Linked DNA regions of Macaca fascicularis. Each later gene encodes a partner of the first gene's protein in a complex. Links are inferred from orthologs where the notes say so. Each region holds a gene or a part of one and is shown on either strand. Other genes may lie near its edges. The genes, in order: GATB and GATC.

What was found.
Region 2: GATB (region 1) and GATC share a complex: the UniProt entries of both Homo sapiens proteins name them as parts of the heterotrimeric GatCAB amidotransferase (AdT) complex. The link is inferred for Macaca fascicularis from reciprocal best matches to the Homo sapiens genes GATB and GATC.

What each region holds. Positions count from the first base shown.
Region 1 is NC_088379.1:156,634,089-156,637,896, forward strand, and holds part of GATB (glutamyl-tRNA(Gln) amidotransferase subunit B, mitochondrial), read right to left. Parts: intron 1,787-3,808; coding exon 1,588-1,786; intron 839-1,587; coding exon 716-838; intron 1-715. UniProt on the Homo sapiens protein: Allows the formation of correctly charged Gln-tRNA(Gln) through the transamidation of misacylated Glu-tRNA(Gln) in the mitochondria. The reaction takes place in the presence of glutamine and ATP through an activated gamma-phospho-Glu-tRNA(Gln).
Region 2 is NC_088385.1:127,473,116-127,477,521, reverse strand, and holds the start of GATC (glutamyl-tRNA(Gln) amidotransferase subunit C, mitochondrial), read right to left. Parts: upstream 2,937-4,406; 5' UTR 2,915-2,936; coding exon 2,834-2,914; intron 2,739-2,833; coding exon 2,566-2,738; intron 1-2,565. Other genes in the region: TRIAP1 (TP53-regulated inhibitor of apoptosis 1), read left to right, coding at 3,023-3,169, 4,406-4,406. UniProt on the Homo sapiens protein: Allows the formation of correctly charged Gln-tRNA(Gln) through the transamidation of misacylated Glu-tRNA(Gln) in the mitochondria. The reaction takes place in the presence of glutamine and ATP through an activated gamma-phospho-Glu-tRNA(Gln).

The DNA.
Region 1 (3,808 bases):
AGAAGTTTTAAAAAAGTCCCTAGGAACAGAGTACAGGAGAAAACGATGGCAGAGGCTACCCTTTAGGGACTTATGGGAGAGCAAAGCAGTACCAGGCCAGGGCAAAGGACATCTAGAGTCATGAGGAAATCGAGTGTGACCAAAACCTAGGATCTTTATATGCAATTTGCAAATGCTTCAAATGTGCAGTCTGGTCCCGAGGGTGCAAGTGTTTCTTTTATTTGTTTTAGTTTCCTACTGTATTTCCACTGAATTTAATTAAGATTTTATCTCAGGGTAAAGTTTGCATAATCTTGGCTTACAGTCAACATAATTTGGCTTCCGCTGTATATGGATGAAAAATCTATGAAAGAAAAGAAACAGACTCAAAGGAAAAGAGACAACTAATGACAAAGTGCTATCTATACGGAACTCACTAACTAAGAACTGTTCTTGATAAACACAGTGTCTTCTTCCTGAGAAAGACTGAACTGTTCAAAACCATTAGTTCATTAAGGGTTTGGTGTGTCTGCAATGTTGCTGGTCATGCATTTATATTTGGTTGTGGGCTCATCAAAGAATCCAAGGAAAATTCTAAAAAACAGGGTTGCAAAAGGGAAAAAAAATGGCTGCAAACAACCTCAATATAACTGACAGAAAATAAAACTAAAGTCAGAGAGGTTCTAGGAGGCAGGAAGGGAGAGGGAAACAAGAAGGCTGCTTCTGCGGCTTCTACCTGCCATGTTTGCCTGGCTGGTCCCCAGGGCTTGAAGGATCAGCTGCAGCTCCCTGACAGCTGTTGCCGCCTCTTCTCCACAGGACAAGTCGGGCTCCAGGACCACCTCCAGAAGGCCCACGCCTACCAAAGAGGGGCAGAGTCAGCCTCACTGCAGTTCTCCAATTTCACCAACAGAAAAATTAGGCTTCAGTTTCAGGAAAATCCTGCCTTACTGATGGACTCTGAGTGGTTCTAGCCTCTCAATCATTTCTCTTCCCTTCCAGCATTTTTTTTTTTTTTTTTTTTTTTTTTTGAGACAGAGCCTTGCTCTGTCGCCCAGGTGGAGTGCAGTGGCATGATCATAGCTCACTGTAGCCCTGAACTTCTGGGCTCAAGTGATCCTCCCACCTCAGCCTCCTGAAGATCTGGGACTACAGGTGTATGGCACCACACCTGGCTGTTAATTTTTTGGCGAGTAGGTCTTGCTATGTTGCCCAGCCTGATCTCAAACTCTGTGTCAAGTGATCCTCCCACCTCAGCCTCCTGAGTCGCTAGCATTACAAGTGTAGGCTCCTACGCCCCACTTTTTAATTTTTAACTGTTTCACTTCTTTTAATGACTGCTTAAAATATCCAGCTGCTGGCTCTGTGACTAGGTGGATAAGTTTGTCTAACTTTAGGGTGAGTTACTAGCAAGCCTAATAATTACAGTTCAAGCCATGTTCGCTAGTCAGCTACGCCAATCCCAATGCTGATATTTTGGTCTCCATCTGTTAGGCTCCTGTGACTGCTTTCTCAATTTGTTTAAGAAAACTCTAACGATGAGAAGAGGGGTCTGCAATCCAAGAACTGAAGTAGGAAGGAGAAGTAATGAAAACACTCCAAGTCTACCTGCCCTGTTCAAATCAATGAGCGTCTGCGACCTCAGGTCGTCGTGGAGGCTTTTGCCACTGTCTTGCTCCAGCTGGATCTGCTTGATCCTCACCGTCTTGGGGATCACCTGACTCTGCTTCTTCCCTGCACAGACGCCGTATGTCAAGCTCCCATTCACAGCAATTGGGAGCCTCTGCTGGGTAATTTGGTAGCCTGCCTGCACACAAACATAGGGTACACACAGTCACTGGCCCACACATAAAAGCTGGGATTCAGTTTACTATCCCTTTTACAATGTCACACAAAGACAGGCCTTCTTAAAGCAAAAACAGTAACAAGAAAAAAAAGGAAAAGGAGAAAAAAATTAGTCGCTGCATTGCAGCCATCATTGAACCTGGTCTCTTCTGCCCCTGCCATTACCCCTTCACCCTCCCCAAATCCTCCACTCCCGATAACAACATAATAAACAACACGAATTCAGCCCATCACCCTCACTAAAGTGCTGTACTGGGGAATAACAATAATATCATTGTCAGGGACCCCTAAGAAAAGAATTTATTGTTTCCATCCAGCTCATTAGCCTAAACTCTGCATCTCATTACCAGGCTCCTGGCAAACCCTCCTTATTCGGAATGCTGGCTAAGCATTTTGCCATCTACTCTCCACACGGCCAACAGCAGTTGCTAGTGTGTGTTTAAGCTTGTTTTGTTTCCGCTTTTTAAAGGAATCAATCATGGCAGCTGCCCTCCCTGACCCAACTTCCCTAGCTCCTCCAGCCAGAAAACGCTGTGCCATTCCCCCTCCGTTAACGGAAGGCACATGCTACTAAAGCACTGATGGATCCTGCAAGGATCCCTCACCTGCTTCTAAGTGGAAAGGAAGAATTACTTTCAAATGCACAGAGGCACCAACACGCACTAAAGAGATAGCAGGTCAATGAGGAGAACTGGAGAAGAACAGAGAATAAGAGCAAAGGCATCTGTGGCATTTTCTAGGTCCCAGGCGCTGCTCTCACTGTGTTCCACTCAGTTAATTCCACAACCACCTTTGGAAGGAAGAACAAGGCACGGAGGGATCAGGACCTTGCCCACAGTCACATACAGAGCTAGTGAGCATCAGTGTCAACGTCTGAATTCAGGTGGTCAGGCTCCAAAATCTGTGTCTTTCACCACTTGGCCAGCCAGCAGTTTAAGAACTTTAACTGCATCAGAAATACTACTGTGCTTGTCAAAAGACAGACTGCTTGGCCCGACCGCAAAGGTTTCCAACTCAGTAGGTCGAGGGTGGGGCCTGAAGATTTCTATTTCTTACCGGTTCCCAAGAGATACTGACGTTAGTGCCCTGGGGACCACACTTGGAGAATCCTGCAAAAGGCTAACCCGTTTTCTATGCTGAGGCGAGAAGTCTCAATTTGTAAAACTAAGCTCTGGGTAGGTTGTTGGATAAAATATAAGATACCCAGTTAAATCTGAATTTCAGATAAACAACAAATGCTTTATTATATGAGTATGTCCCATGAAACTCTAGATTATTTGAACGATCTGGGCCAGAAAGACCAGAAAGCCACAGATGACCAAAACATCTCATTTTAGTCATATTATTACTAAATCTCCCACCTCAACCAAACTGTCTGTCACTCTTAAAAGATAAAGAAAGGTGGTTTAATTCTTTCTGCCCTACCAAACAGTAGACTTGCTGAGAGGCTGGAGGCCAGAGGGGAAAAGCAGCAGCCCCTGGAGAATGCAGTCTTACTTGTATTTTTTATTTAATTCTACTCATGCCCTCACCCACTAAAAAACAGCTCCCCCCAATCTTCAGTTCAAAGAGAATGAGGTAAAACAATATCGTCACTGTTGTTTTTCTGAATCAGACCAAATGAAACATTATTTTGGGAAACCCATTCAACATTTCAGTTTTGTTCCAGTTCGATGGTATGAAAAATTGGCTCTCACTCACATGGTGTGGCTTAAAGAAAAAAACTTTTTAATTTTCAGAAAAAAGCAGGTCAGTATGGAGTTTACTGCTCAGCCAATTACTGTTCTTGGTCCAGGTTTCTGGTTCATGTTTCTGCTTACTATTGTCCACTTACTTGCTCCTTGTGAGATGACAGAAATGTCTCCAAAGGAGACAGCCCTATTATTGGGAACTTCAACTTAAAAGTGAGACGCCCTCGCTCTGCCGACAGAGCTACAGTATGCATTTACTGTTGCATCAGCCAGAGGCTTAGCTTTTGTACTAA
Region 2 (4,406 bases), on another chromosome or scaffold:
GGCAAGAGAATTGCTTGAAACCGGAAGGCAGAGGTTGCAGTGAGCTGAGATTGCACCACTGTATTCCAGCCTGGGTGGAAGAGTGAAACTGTCTCAAAAAAAAAAAAAGGAATGGACTTTTTTGGCCAGCACAGTGGCTCACGCCTGTAATCCCAGCATTTTGGGAGGCTAAGATGGGCAGATCACTTGAGGCCAGGGGTTCGAGAACAGCCTGATCAACATGGTGAAACCCCACCTCTACTAAAAATACAAAAATTAGCTGAGTGTGGTGGCGGATGCCTATAATCCCAGCTACTCCGGAGGCTGAGGCACAGAAATCACTTGAACCTGGAGGGTGAAGGTTGCAGTAAGCCGAGATCGTGCCACTGTACTCCAGCATGGGCAATGGGGCAGAGGGCAGGACTCCATCTCAAAAAAAAAAAGAAAAAAAAGTTAGACTTTCTTTAGGAAGTGGGAGGCTGAGGCAGGAGAATTGCTTGAGACCAGGAGTTTGACACCAGACGGGGCAACATAGCAAGACCCTGTTTCTACAAAAATTTAAGAATTAGCCAGGTGTGGTGGTGCACACCTACAGTCCCAGCTATTTGGGAGGCTGAGGCAGGAGGATCTCTTGAGTCTAGAAGTTTGTGACCAGCCTGGGCAATATAGTGAGACCCCATCCAAAAGGAAAAAGAAAATTGCAAAGTAGAGAAGAGATTTGAAAGAATCAAACACTGGGCCAGGCGCTGTGGCTCATGCCTGTAATCCCAGTACTTTAGGAGGCTGAGGTGGGTGGATCACCTTTGCTCAAGAGTCAAGCCTGGAGAACATGGCAAAATCCTGTCTCTATAAAAAATATAAAAAATTAGCGGCCGGGCCCGGTGGCTCAAGCCTGTAATCCCAGCACTTTGGGAGGCTGAGATGGGTGGATCATGAGGTCAGGAAATCGAGACCATCCTGGCAAACACGGTGAAACCCCGTCTCTACTAAAAAGTACAAAAAAAAAACTAGCCGGGCGAGGTGGCGGGTGCCTGTAGTCCCAGCTACTGGGGAGGCTGAGGCAGGAGAATGGCGTGAACCCGGGAGGCGGAGCTTGCAGTGAGCTGAGATCCGGCCACTGCACTCCAGCCTGGGCGACAGAGCGAGACTCCATCTCAAAAAAAAAAAAAAAAAAAAAAAAAATTAGCCAGGCCTGGTGGCATGAGCCTGTGGTCCTATACTTGGACGCTGAAGTAGGAGGATCTCTTGAGCCTGGGAGGTGGAGGTTGCAATGAGCTGAGATCATGCCACTGCACTCTAACCTGGGTGATAAGAGTGAGACTCCATCTCAAAAAATAAAAATAAAAGGCCGGGCGCGGTGGCTCAAGCCTGTAATCCCAGCACTTTGGGAGGCCGAGACGGGCGGATCACGAGGTCAGGAGATCGAGACCATCCTGGCTAACACGGTGAAACCCTGTCTCTACTAAAAAGTACAAAAAACTAGCTGGGCGAGGTGGCGAGCGCCTGTAGTCCCAGCTACTCGGGAGGCTGAGCCAGGAGAATGGCGTAAACCCGGGAGGCGGAGCTTGCAGTGAGCAGAGATCCGGCCACCGCACTCCAGCCTGGGTGACAGAGCGAGACTCCGTCTCAAAAAAATAAAAAAATAAAAATAAAAATAAAAATAAAAATTCGAGGCAGGAATGCAACCGGAACCAAATCTCATAAAGTGCTCACATTTTAATAAAAGAGATATAACAAATGAACAAAAGTCCATTAAAATGTTAGAGGAAAAAACCCAATAGGATGTGTTACTAACCAGAAGGGGAGAAGGGATTTGCAGTGGTTAGGAAAGCCCTTTCCCAGAAGATAAGCTGAGACCTGTGCCAAGAGGGAGGCAGCCATGCAAATACTGAGAGGCAGGAAAAAACGAAGGGTCAGTGCAAAGATCTAGAGAGGGAAAGAACTTGTCTTGCTGGAGACGCAGTCAAGGTAGCCAAGGAGGGTACTGAGAAGAGTATGTCTGAGTGAGCAGGCAGGGACTCTATGGAGTAGGGGCTCAAAGGCGATAATTAGGCCAGGCGCGGTAGCTCACGCCTATAATCCCAGCACTTTGGGAGGCCGAGGCGGGTGGATCACGAGGTCAGGAGTTCAAGACCAGCCTGGCCAAGACGGTGACACCCCGTCCCCGTCCCCGTCTCTACTAAAAATACAAAAAAAAAAATTAGCCGGGCGTGGTGTCAGGCGCCTGTAATCCCAGCTACTCGGGAGGCTGAGGAAGATAATTGTTTGAACACGGGAGGCGGAGCTTGCAGTGAGACGAGATCGCGCCACTGCACTCCAGTCTGGACTCCGTCTCAAGAAAAAAAACACAAAGGCGATGATGAGCAGTTTGGGTTTTGTTTCTACTTACACTAGGACGACACGAGCGAGAGCATCCGTAATGAACAAGGGGAAGAGTGAAGCCACTGACTCGCGAGGTGACCGTGGGCAAGTTCCTGAATCTCGCTAACGCTCTTTAACCCCCTGGAAAATTGTTCGCTAATCGTCACATTAAACGGCTGCGAACGGGCCACGCTCAAGGCTTCGGGGCTGCAGCCTCGAGTTTACCTGTCCTCCAGGACCGACTCCATGGGCTCCACCCCGTCAGTGTCCACCGCACGTAGCCGGTCGGCGAAGGCGATAGCTTTCTCCAGTCGCGCCACTGCCTCGCAGCTGCCGAAGTCCACAAGCGCTAGACGCTCCAGGTGCTCGATCACCTGGGCCGTGATCCGGCCACTGCCCTGGAGGAGGAATGAGGCACGGAGTGTGGTTCACCGGCGCCCCGGTGTGCCTCCCGGCTTGCTCCGCCACCCGCCTAGATGGCCCTGGCCTTTACCTGAGGATCCGCCTTGGACGTGAAGCCCTGGCGCCCGCCCAGAGGGGCCCGAAGGCCCAGCCACACCAACCGCGACCACATTTCTTCCTTCCTTGGCCCCCGTAGTGCGCCCGCGCGTAACGCCGAGCGACGCGCCTAAGAGTGATGACATCAGAGTGCGCTGCCGCCGCCGCCGACACCACTGTCGCCATGAACAGTGTGGGGGAGGCATGCACGGACATGAAGCGCGAATACGACCAGTGCTTCAATCGCTGGTTCGCCGAGAAGTTTCTCAAGGGGGACAGCTCCGGGGACCCGTGCACCGACCTCTTCAAGCGCTACCAGCAATGTGTTCAGGTGAGCCCTTCCGCCTCTGTTTCCAGGCCCCGCATTCTCCGCGCTGTGTCCCACTACACTCGTCGTGTTTTATGGGGGTTGGGACTGGACTGGAAGGGTGGAGAAAAGCCGCAGTGAGGTCAGTGGCAGGAGCTCGCTCCCCTATCATCACCACCGAGGCCGTTTGGGTGTCTCCCCGAATGACAAATATTGGTGCAGTGCTTTTGTTTTTAAGACACACAGTCACATCTTTTGGTTCATTTGGTGTTCATCCTAAACTCGCAAGGTGGGTATAGTTACTCATATTTTGTACATAAAAAACTAACACCCAGAAATAGGAAGTGATTGATCCGAGTTCACTAGCACCAGGTTGCCTTGATTCTTTCGCAGGTGGTGCACTTTTCCACTATTACAGCTGAGGTCTGGGCGGGGTTATACTTCAGACTGGAGGATCACATTATTTTGATGTTATAAACCCTTCGTTAGCCTGTTTATCTCTCTTGACCAGTCCCCGCAACTGCAGCTAGGAAATGTTTATTCTGGCCCAATGGATGTGGAACTGCTTTGAATTGTTAGAACAGCACTGGGCAAAGCACTTCCAATAAGTTAACCCAACACATCCTCACAGCAGTTCCCCGAGGTAGTTGCTGTCTTCATCCCATTTAGTTGGTCACATAGCCAGTAAGTCTTTCACCAACACAAAGTGATGATTATTTTTCAAATTTCACTTAATTTTAATGGTTCCCTCACAACTCCTTTTCCAGTCTCCCTCAGGTCTTACACTTGATTTATTCATTATGGTACTTTTGGTTTTTATTTATTTTTGAGGCAGTCTCACTGTCTCCCAGGCTGGAGTGCAATGGCACAATCTCAGCTCACTGGCAACCTCCGCCTCCCAGGTTCAAGCTATTCTCATGCCTCAGCCACCGGAGTAGCTGGAATTACAGGCATGCACCCCCATGCCCAGCTAATTTTTGTATTTTTAGTATAAACAGGGTTTCGCCATGTTGGCCAGGTTGGTCTCTAACTTCTGGCCTCAAGTGATCCACCTGCCTTGGTCTCCCAAAATGCTGCGATTATAGACCTGAGCCACCACACCCTACTGGTACTTGTTTTTTAAAAAGTATGTGGTTTGAATCATGGTTATAAGTCTTTATAATCAGCTTGATTTTACTTTTGTGCTGTCATATTTTATTTACAAAGCTTGCAACTTGAGCTTCATATAGATCCTTATAATGTGTTTTCTCCTCCTACCAGA